2 linked regions of the Arabidopsis thaliana genome follow. The protein of the gene in region 1 interacts with the protein of each later gene in a pairwise test. Each region holds a gene or a part of one and is shown in the gene's direction. Other genes may lie near its edges.

Region 1 (5,872 bases):
AATAAAACCTTCCAACAAGTGCTTCCAGTTGAGGGTCAAGATCTAGCTGATATTTGTTTAGGTAATGATCTAACTCATTGGTTCCCAACACCTATGCACACGTTTCAATCAGAAATCATATACATGGATTTAAGTTTACAATGTAATTTTATGCCAATAAGTCATAGACTAGCAATATACCTTGGCAATTTTGACAAGTTGATCATGATTATCATGGCCATAAAAGAACGGTTCCTTACGGAATATCTGCAGCATCAATATTTGACAAGTGAATAAGCAACAGCAAAGTATTAACGACTACCATTCGGAAATTCAAATGCTTGCAATAGCTTCAGCATTGAAGCTAGAGAGAAGAGTGAGGGGATTATTAGTTCTCACCATGCCAGCAAACATGCAACCAAGACTCCACATGTCTAAAGAATAGTCATAATCCTGTAGATCAACTAAAAGCTCGGGACCCTTGAAGTATCTGGCAATTAATTCACAGGTTTTTAGTCTAATGCATTTAACAACTACAAGAAGCTTTGATTGCACAGCTAAAAGTTTCAATCATTGGCATCTACGAATGACCCTCTTAGGCTTGCCAAGACAGGTGGAATTAAGCTGTGGTATCGGATATTACCTCGAGGCCACGCGAACATTATACTCTTTTCCGGGATGGTAAAACTCAGCAAGGCCCCAATCTATCAGACGAAGTTTACGCAGCTGATGATCTATCATGACATTATGAGGCTTAACATCCCTATGCATTATTCCTTGAGAGTGACAGAAATCCAATGCCTGAAATGCAATAACATCAGCTCTGGATTCCACGATAAACATTTGTATGTACGGTAAAAGTCATTTATGGTAAATACCGATACATTACCTTCAGAAGCTCATAAATATAGTACCGGATATCGTAATCAGTCAATGTTGGATACAATACTTTAAAGTCCACACTGTTGACAAACTCAAATACCAAGCTAGGTGTTTTGGAGTGCTCATCTCTAACAATATCATACAGCTTAACAATATTTGGTCCACCACATAGGTTCTGAAGTATTTTGATCTCTCTCTTTATCTGCATAACATCAAGTTTCAGCAAAATTAGCCATCTTTATGTATGCAAATTCATCAGAAATGAGTTCTACTAACTGATCACCTTCTTCTTTTTTACGGGTTTGAGGATCTTGATAACGCAACGCTCATTCGTATTGACGTTTTTGCCTTCGAAAACTTCACTGTATTTTCCTCTACCAACTTTTCTCACAACCTCATAATCATCTTGATGACTGAAGAATCACACAAAAGTATTTAAGAATCTCACACTGTTGAATTTCAAAATCCAATATTTGCTAATAGATACTTAAAACAAAGTGTCTTCAAGAGACCTAAGTCCAAACCCTAAAAAATTCCAATTTCTCTGATTTCGAATTCGATTTGGCAACAAATCAATCAAATTCCACCGAAAATTTATCAAAAAGAAGTCAAAAATCGTAAATTCATCAAAGAAAAATTCTAAAGCTAGAAGTTTTACCCCCATTGAACAACGAGAGACTCGTAGTCCCAATACTCTTTAGGACGAACAACGTTAACATCTGTATAAACCCTAGCTTTCGACATCAATTTCGATCTGAAAAAATGGAGAAATTTGCGATCGCAATCTTCTCTTTGATCGTCAGGTTTGTTTCAAGTGGACGATGATGATGACAACAGAAGAAGTGCGTTGTGCAGGATTAGAAAAAGGTTGAAGAAGAATCTCTGATACCCAAAAACCACCTAAACCAAATCGAACCGATTCAACCACACTCGAACCGAAACAAACCCAATCGGATCGATTTCAATCACACTATAACCGGACCGAATTGTTTAAACGACATCGTTTCGAAGAGAAGCCAAAGAAAAAGAAAGGAGAGAAATAAAGCAAATTCGTTACCTTCACTTTTCATTTTCTGAATAAGAGTTAAAAAAAGACATTAATGGCCTTAAGGCCTTGTACTGGATTCACAATCTCCTCTCTTCGCAACGCTTCCGCCGCCAACAACAATCTCTTCTCTCTCCTCTCCTTCTCTTCGTCGTCTCCGGCGAAGAGGAATCTTCTTCTCTCTTCGCTCCAGGACAATCTCCGTCGTTTCGCATCCAGCGCTTCTCTTTACCGTCAACATCTCCGGAATCAACAACAACAACATCAGCAACAACAGCAATCGCGCGTGAAAGAAAAATCAGAAACGCTGGCTCAGAAGATCGGTAAATCTATCCGGCGTGCCGGTGCGCCGTCGAAAGCTAGGGTTTACGCTGATGTCAACGTTGTTAGACCTAAGGACTATTGGGATTACGAGTCCCTTGCTGTTCAATGGGGGTATATCTTCAGATTCTTCTCTAATTAAACCTAATTACGTCGATTTCTAGATGTTTGCCTTTGGTTATAGATTGGTTTGGGATTGGTTGTTCTGGAATCAATGTGGAATGTAGATTTAGGGTTTCGTTTCATATTTTTGATTGATGATATAATCTCGTAAGTAATGCAGAATTGGTATCTGATTTGTTTGTATTGGTATCTGTTTTGTTTGTATATAATCTCTTGAAAATTGCTGGTCTATGTGAACTAGATTGTTGAATTGATATCTTGAGTTTGTATGGTGTTGTTACTGTTTGGTGTATTAGTGTTTGAGTTAGCTTCATTGATGCCGCAGTGTACAGGATGATTATGAGGTGGTGAGGAAGGTAGGAAGGGGAAAATACAGTGAGGTCTTTGAAGGCATTCATGCTACTGATAACGAGAAATGTGTTATCAAGATTTTGAAGCCTGTGAAGAAGAAGAAGGTGAGTAGATACAGCCGCTTGCTTGTTTTTATCTCAATTGTGCTCAGAATGAAGTGTGTTTCTGGCCCTTCACTTGGTTTGAATTATTCTCTAACATATTTTGCTTCTCCTTGACGCAGATTAAGAGAGAGATTAAGATTCTGCAGAACCTCTGCGGTGGGCCTAATATTGTAAAATTGCTCGACATTGTTAGAGATCAGCAGTCTAAGACGCCCAGCTTGATATTTGAACATGTGAACAATAAAGATTTCAAAGTTCTCTATCCAACTCTCTCAGACTATGATGTTCGATATTACATTTTTGAACTTCTAAAGGTAATTATTCAGTTTCCTGAATTGTAGACCATGATTTTCTTTGCGGCTTTGGCAATTGGCAAAAGTAATCGGTAGATATATCATAGATGTATAGCGTCATACACTGTTGTTTACCTTACTTGACTTTTGAATCCACTAGCCTTCAGTTATAAAGGGTACGAATTTGTTTCTGATGCTGTTTGTTGTTTCTTTTTAACATTTATGCAGGCGTTGGATTTCTGCCATTCACGTGGAATCATGCACAGAGATGTGAAACCACATAATGTCATGATTGATCACGAGCAGCGAAAACTTCGTTTAATTGACTGGGGTTTGGCAGAATTCTATCATCCTGGGAAAGAATACAATGTCCGTGTTGCTTCAAGGTAGTTCCTTTTGGCTATCTGCTAATCTCTCCTCTGCAAGATTCTATTTGTTGCAGTTGCTAAATTTCTGCTCATAGAGAGTCTAGATAAGAAATGTTGAAGATTGCATGCATTGAGCTCTTGAGATTAGTTGAAACATATTATCTAACTTCGTCTAGCTGATGTATACTATTATCATTTCTCACTTCATATTTGATGAGCAGGTACTTTAAGGGTCCAGAGCTGCTGGTGGATTTACAGGACTATGATTATTCCTTAGACCTATGGAGTCTTGGGTGTATGTTTGCTGGAATGGTAAGCGTTTTAAGCTAGAATTTAGTTAACTTGGTTTAAGCTGTAATGGAATGACAAGAATTCGACAGTACATTTTGGTTATTTTACCATTCCTTAAGTTAGTTAAGTGGTGAATATTGTATACTCTACTGTTTGCAGATATTCCGCAAGGAGCCGTTCTTTTATGGCCATGACAACTATGATCAATTGGTCAAAATTGCGAAGGTAACATTACAAAAGCTTTCATCATGTCTCGTCTCCTCTGAACAGATTTTACATTCCTCCAAGTTATAGCTAAAAATACGATTCTATGTATTTATAACTATGGCAGGTGCTTGGCACAGATGAACTCAACGCCTACCTAAACAAATACCGTATAGAGTTGGACCCTAATCTAACATCCCTCGTGGGCAGGTAATCCGGTTTAAAAAGTTATGAAAAACTCTAAAAACTCCAGTTTTGCGCCTTATCATTTCAGAACATTAAATTATGCACTCTTGATTTTATATAGACATAGCCGGAAGCCATGGACAAAGTTCATCAATTCTGAAAACCAGCACTTAGCAGTTCCTGAGGTACAACACTTAACTTTTCTCTATACAATTATGAAGCCTTCATGTTAAGACCAAAACACCGGATTTTTTGGACGAACATGACTCATTTGTTTTCATATACTTTTTGGTTAATGAAGGCTGTTGATTTTGTGGACAAGTTGCTGAGATATGATCACCAAGAAAGGCCAACAGCTAAAGAAGCAATGGTAAGCAACAATTTTTCTTTAATATCTTTCTAAAGATTTTCTCTTATAATTACAGATAAGTGATAGTAGAGAATATGATGGATTTTTACAGGCGCATCCATATTTCTATCCGATTAGAAATGCAGAGAGCAGCCGTACGCCGCGCAGCCAGTGATCTCGAAAACATTTGCTTGTTCAATCTTCTGATTTTTCATTTCTTTACGGATTCAAATTTGTTATAAATCGATCTGTCATTGTTTCATTCTCTCAAGTGTGCGTGTGTTACTGTTTTGCTCTTTCTCAGTGTTTCATTCAACTCATTTGAATTTTATTATATAAAAAAAAATATCCACAAGACGGGTTTCAAAAGGTTTTTCTTTCTTTTCTTCTCATTTTTAATTTTCTGGAAAATTTCATATTCTTGAGCGGGACAGGTTGGTTTGGCTTGCCGGTTTTAGTTAGCCCGTTTTGACAGCTCCGTGGAAGGTAGAAGAAGCTCGCATCGGGAGTAGAGAGTGATGGTCGGTCAGTTAGATATATAACTGTAGACATAAGAAAGCACAAGAATCTCTAATCTAATCCAAATAGTGATTAGGGGACATTAAGCACGTAATCCGATCTTGAGTACTGTGTCTGTGGAACAACCTCGACCTATCTGTCTTATATCTTTTAAGTTTAGTTTAATCTCTCTGGTTCCCTTTGTCCAAATGATTATGCAATCATCCTATATTAGTTTACAATATAGCTGTCTGTCTCTTTCTTTCTTGTTGAAAATGATGCCTTAAAAAAATTACTCATCTCTTAAAATTTTGTGAATTACGCACACGCAAAGATATTGCTGTGTCTAAAACATATGAAACCAAATATGGAAATATATAACTAATAATTGTGCAAGATTTTCAGTATATATATGCATCCATGATCCATCAATCAGTTATTTTTTTCAAATTATTGGAGAAAATCATCCACCAAAAGAGAAATAAATATTTACTTTGGAAACGATTAAAAACGTTTGATAACCGGTGTGCAGTCTTGTGAATTAAGATTATCTTTTGAGTTTTGACACCTTAATCCAAAGTGAGATTTCACGCGTATGAGTAAATGAGATTATTGAATGATGTATTCTGTTGGAATGCTTTAGATAATCAGTTTCGTGTGATAAAGATTTTCTCATTCTGGCCAAAAAAAAATAAAAAAGATTTTTCTGTTTTTCATTCCTGTTTTTATATTGAAACGTTACATTTTTCATATTTAGATATGGGATCATCGGATCTTGAACGTGTCATTCTATCATTTGAATAATTTCTGTATAATGTCGTAGATTCATGGTGAACTAATAACACGTGATCAAAGGAAGCATGCAGGGCAAATGAGAA
Region 2 (5,436 bases), on another chromosome or scaffold:
CAGAGTCAGAAACAGAGAGACCAACCTTGATAGCATTCATGAACTGACTTATGATCTCAGGAACTTCGGTTTCAACTTGTTCTACGGTTTTATTAGCGAAGTAACCTGCTGTGAGATCGTTCTGACCAATGTCAAAAGTGTACAAAGCTTTTGAGAAGCTGTCGGATTCAGGCAACATTGTCTTGTAGACTCCTCCACGACTACGAACAGTTTGAGATCTGTTGTGGAAGTTATAGAATTGTACGAACTGTACATCGAGTGAAAATGGGCTGAATCCACTTTGACGTAGAGTAGAGTTAAGAGCTCTTATCGGAGATCCCGCGGTAGCGAAGTTAGCGCCGTGGCTGAAGTTTGAACCAACGGAGTCTAGAAACGCGCTTAGATATGGTAATCCAAGACTCTCCGCTATGTTCAAAACAGAAGCAAAATCAGCAAAAACAAAAAACGCAAACGTTTTGGATAGGGAAGAGTTAGTGTACCTATGAAGTCAATGACGAGGCGACCATCGCAGTATCGTCCCGCGGGTGAGCCGAAGAAGGAAGAGCCGTGAGGAGGACCAGCTTGGCCAAAAGCAGCGGAGAGACCGCCGGTATCGGAGTTAGAGTCACCAAAGTTAAAGATTGCTGGGAAATGGCATTGATGGGCATGTGTTGATGGTGATAGTGAAGAAAGCAAAGAGAGAGCAAACAAAGAAGATAGGATTGGATTCATTGGTAAAGCTAAAGATGTAAAGAGACCAAAACTCAATCACGGGACTTTTATCCTCAAAAGAAGAGAAACGTTACCCCTACCAGAAAAAGAAAGAAGGTTGGCAAAACACAAAAATCAGAGATTTGTGATATGTTTTTATTGAGATAGGGTTAGTTATAAATCAATACATTTTGAATATGTTTACGAAAATACTTGTAAGTTTACCATCATACAAATATGCTTTCTTTCTTTGGAGGATTCTCTTCTTATTTCTTTCTTTTTAAGTTTATATGGTAGCTTTCCATTTTCATATTTTATTTTATTTTCGTTGTAGATATCTAGTTTTTTTAATTTGTTGTCTCTATTTTCTATCACGTTTTTTTTCTCAAATCTTCTTTTATCTTTTTTTGCATGAGTTGTCGTGTATACACTCTCACGATTATCGCAACATTAATGAAACAGGGTTGTGAGATTGTTGTGTGGTTTCGTTCGTAGAGATGATTGTTTGGATTCCAAAATGGTTGAAACATGCTTGTTTGGATTTGTTCAACTGGTTGAAAAGGGCTTTGCTTCGTTTGATTGGCTATGGCTACATAAATATGATTAATAGTAAGCTCACTGATTGACCATCTAACATTTTCTTGGCCTCTTTTAGCTATGGGGAACAACATAGTGTTTTCTTACTTTAATAGATGTGTTACCATTCTACAAGTTTGGAAGAACGTGTGTTTAAACATTAGTAGAAACATGAAAATTTAAGAAAAATACCCCTAGTTGTTAATAGAAATGTATTGTTAATGCCCTACTAATATTTTTTTCCCAGTGAATTCTGTTCACCAGTCATCACAACTTTCGAAGTGATGCTTAACATAAATTATCGAAACTTTGTGAAAATGTTTAAACGTCGTAAAAACTTTACAATAATTTAAAAACAACTGAATGTTCTTCTTAGAGGTTAATGTATCAGATGGCAAAACGTCGCCGTTTTACATTCCTCTCATCTGAAACTGTTACAAGTCTGTTAATACGGTGCCGTTTAATTGTAGTTGTTTTTTGTGTAAACTATAATTACAAGTCTGTTAATACGATGCCGTTTAGTTGTAGTTGTTTTGTGTGTAAACTATAATCGTATATCGATCGTCTTCCTCGCGAGAGTTTCAGTCTCAGCCACAAAGTAAAGACTCCACTGTCGTCTTCCGTAGTGATGCTTCTTTCTGCAATCGCTTCTCAGACCCTTCTCTCATCAAACCCTAATCTACACTTCTCCAATTCTATTCCAAACCCTAGACCTTCTAATCCCTCCCTTAAGCTCCTCAATGCCTCTTCTTCTTCCTCCTCCTCGTCGTCGTCTTCTATATTTACACGCGGTCTCCGTTACGTAAACCACACTGTATCTAATGAAGAATCAGAACCCGGAGGAGGAGAGACCATGGTTGCTTCTGCTTCCGCTATAGCTTCCGCGATTCGTGGAGCTTCAACAACTCCTGTAGAGTTCACACAGATGATTGAGAAAGACCATCTCAAGACTAAGATTATCTTGCCAAGTCCTGATTTTCAACGGCTTTGTCTTGAGCAATTAGATCTCTTTCGTCAAATCGTTGATCCAAACGCAGTACTCTCGGTGCGTCTCTGCTTTTTTACATCATTGTTGCTTGAAAATAGAGTGTTGTTAGATTAAAGGTTGAATTTTTATGTTGGTTTTGGTTTAGATATATGTAAGACCAGCTGGTAGCTATGTGATGGATCGATTAGAGTTGCGTCGTGTCACTTGTTATCCAAGTGTTAATGCTGGAGACGTTGTGATCTTAGTTGGAAACTTTGGTATCCCTGCGGGTCTACGAGCAGCTGAAGCATCACTTTCTAGTCAACAAGTATGTGTTCTTCTTCCTCTGCGTTAAACTCAAGTTTACTTATGGTTTTTTTGTTGACATAATATGTGGATGATAGGTAGAACTTGTGAGTAAACATAGAGCTGCTGTGTTTCCAATGGTGAAACACCCGTTTGTTGTCGGTTTCTTGGTTGCTGAGTTACCAGTAGAAGCCGAGGAGGAGGAGGAGGAGGAGGAAGAGGAAAAACCGCATGGTGTAAATCAGTTTCTTTCCCCTGAGGAAGCTTATGCTTTGCCTGCTTCAGCTAATACAAAATCACCTAGAGTTAAACTTCCTTCTGTTAAGGTTTTCACTGAAGAGCAGAGATCGTATGCGATTAATATTTCTCGGACTCTCGCTATGGCTTATGTCATGGATCAGGTTGTTCTTATATCCTGTCTTTTCCTTTGTTCTTATGTTTTTGCTTGACCGTCTTTGTTGGCTTTAATCCTTATTGATCTTTTTTTTTATTATTGGGTATGTATAGAAAACAATGTTACTTCAACAGTCATCTTGGCAAAACAATGTGAGGATGAGTAAGCTAGTGGAGCAGGTACAAGCCACGCACTTGTTAACTTAGTACACATAGATCTTATGTTAATTAATGTCTCCTTTTAGTTTATATTACGCATTTTTCTTTCTTGCGTATTGGCAGATCCGTGGTCCGCTCTCTACCATGAGGACTTTAAGTAAAATGCTTTCAACTCACACTAAGAGAAATCAGGTCCTTGCAATTAGCATTTGTAGCCGGAAATGTTATTCTCCCTGAGTCTTGCAGTTATCGGACTGACTTGGGTTTTTGTACATTGTAGATTTCACATGATATTGTGGAAGACTTAATAGTTCAAGGTGATCAAATAAAGGATACCCTTGAAGAACTTCAGGATGCAGTTCACTTGACAAAGGTTACACCTTCTTTTACTTTGTCCCTTTTGGTTCTTGAGAGAGTCATCACTCTATTTTCAGTTGTCTTTATAAATCTGTCTTTAGATGTGTTGCGCATGGGAAATCTGTCAAACCATACTCGAATTTGATTTTTCGGTTTGTATTTCTTACAAGCATTTCATTTTCAGGCTAATATAGTGCGCCACAACGAAGAAGCCCTAAAGAAGATAAATAAAACACACAATGAAACAAGGAGATCAAAGTATGAACATAAGGACCCCATTGATGGCTCACAAATCTCAAGTACACGCCTTTCCTTGGGTTCTGGATTAGATGATTCAGAAATGCCTATGCCACCTCTTGCCCTGGCACCCCTACAAATGCACAGTATAAGGTACAAGTTTCTGAGCAATTAACTTAACGTCTTGCCACAAAACTCTTCACTTGAAACAAAGTGTTGGGAGGGCTTATCTCTTTCATTTATGTCAGGAAGACCATGCGACATTTCTAATGTGCTTTTAGATATGGTCGAGACTGTGAGACCACTAGCACTTACTCAGCAAAGAGTAGTGGAGCTAGGTGAGAACTCAGCTTCCCTGCAAGTTGCTGTTGAAGAACCAGCTTTGAGGCAAGCTCTGAGCAACCTCATCGAAGGTGCATTGTTGCGCACTCATGTTGGGGGGAAAGTTGAAATTTTGTCGACCAGAGCTCCTGCTGGCGGTAGTCTTGTAGTAATTGATGATGATGGTCCTGATATGCGCTATATGGTAATCAAGACCGAACTTATATTCTGCTGCTTTTTACTTCCTGTATTTAAGTCTGAGGGCTTAACCAGTTTAATATGAGAATCATATTGCTTTTTAACATAAATTTGTTACATCAATGCAGACGCAAATGCATTCGCTAACACCATTTGGAGCAGAACTCCTGTCGGAAAACATGGTTGAAGACAATATGACATGGAACTTTGTGGCTGGTTTAACCGTAGCCCGAGAGATCCTGGAGAGTTACGGATGCGTGATCAGGGTTATATCACCTCGCAGCTCCGATGCAGCCTTAGGAGCTGGCGGTACTCGTGTAGAGCTCTGGCTGCCTGCCTTCCCTGCAGCAGTATCTGAAGCCAATGAAGCATAGGTTTTCATTTCCATCTCTTTGTGAATCTTTTTAGTCTCGAGTCCGATTTGTGGTGAAGCCAATGTATAGTCTATTTTGTGATATGTTGATCGATGTGTAATAACACCTTAATATGTACATAAACCCAAAAGAGTCATGTCTACATATGTGGACTTTGTAACGTAAATATATAGCTCTATTCTTATGTAAGTGATATAGGAAGACTTGAACAAAATTGATTGCAATTGTTTTTCAATCTTCTTTTACCTTCAAATGCCTTTTTACCGTATCATCTTCTAAACTTCTCACGTGGGGGACCTCTTATTAAAGAAAGTGGACTCTTCAGTTTGGTACGAAATCTACATTTTCCTTATTATAGAGTTTGGCAACTCTATTTATCAATGGACATAGTCAAACTTTCATTGGCTTTAAATCACTCAAAATATAGCAATGCCATACAATTCTTCCAACCTCTCTATTTTTTTTTATTTTTTTTTTCATCACTTCCAACCTCTCTATTTAATACACAATTTTCCAGAAAATAAAGTTTTTGGTTAACCAAAAGTCCAAATCTTTTCCATTCATACAATTCTAAGGTAAGAAATAAAATTTCTTTCACTGTTAAAGTAACAAATATGTATCTTGATTATGTTGCTTTCTTTTAGCACCATCTTATCTTCTTCCGTTATTTTCGGAAAGATCTTGCAAATTCTTGGGTTTATTTATTGTATATTTTTTGCTTGTTTTGTAGCAAAGAATATGACAAATTAAAACAGTAAAAGACTCTACTACAATTTTGAAAAAAGTGAAATTGATAGATTTTCTTTGATTCTTCGTGACATATTAAAAAATATCAAACAGTATAGTGTAAAAAGGATA

The links.
Region 2: the proteins of AT2G23070 (region 1) and CSK interact in a two-hybrid assay, tested with the Arabidopsis thaliana proteins (one study listed by BioGRID).

What each region holds. Positions count from the first base shown.
Region 1 is NC_003071.7:9,822,961-9,828,832, reverse strand, and holds AT2G23070 (Protein kinase superfamily protein), read left to right. Parts: upstream 1-1,934; 5' UTR 1,935-1,961; coding exon 1,962-2,341; intron 2,342-2,675; coding exon 2,676-2,805; intron 2,806-2,924; coding exon 2,925-3,119; intron 3,120-3,326; coding exon 3,327-3,484; intron 3,485-3,687; coding exon 3,688-3,778; intron 3,779-3,916; coding exon 3,917-3,982; intron 3,983-4,088; coding exon 4,089-4,171; intron 4,172-4,268; coding exon 4,269-4,332; intron 4,333-4,448; coding exon 4,449-4,517; intron 4,518-4,608; coding exon 4,609-4,671; 3' UTR 4,672-5,191; downstream 5,192-5,872. Other genes in the region: CKA3 (Protein kinase superfamily protein), read right to left, coding at 9-91, 181-246, 379-469, 623-780, 869-1,063, 1,145-1,274, 1,520-1,605. UniProt on the Arabidopsis thaliana protein: Casein kinases are operationally defined by their preferential utilization of acidic proteins such as caseins as substrates. The alpha chain contains the catalytic site. Involved in the regulation of various developmental processes.
Region 2 is NC_003070.9:25,432,262-25,437,697, forward strand, and holds CSK (chloroplast sensor kinase), read left to right. Parts: upstream 1-1,765; 5' UTR 1,766-1,894; coding exon 1,895-2,311; intron 2,312-2,399; coding exon 2,400-2,561; intron 2,562-2,637; coding exon 2,638-2,940; intron 2,941-3,046; coding exon 3,047-3,112; intron 3,113-3,214; coding exon 3,215-3,283; intron 3,284-3,371; coding exon 3,372-3,464; intron 3,465-3,632; coding exon 3,633-3,838; intron 3,839-3,933; coding exon of another isoform or gene 3,934-3,937; coding exon 3,938-4,211; intron 4,212-4,332; coding exon 4,333-4,578; 3' UTR 4,579-4,835; downstream 4,836-5,436. Other genes in the region: FXG1 (alpha-fucosidase 1), read right to left, coding at 26-405, 480-711. UniProt on the Arabidopsis thaliana protein: Sensor kinase that senses the plastoquinone (PQ) redox state involved in stoichiometry adjustment of both photosystems (e.g. long-term adaptation via transcriptional regulation of reaction center genes of photosystems I and II) and state transitions (e.g. short-term adaptation involving reversible post-translational phosphorylation of light-harvesting complex II, LHC II), thus linking photosynthesis with gene expression in chloroplasts.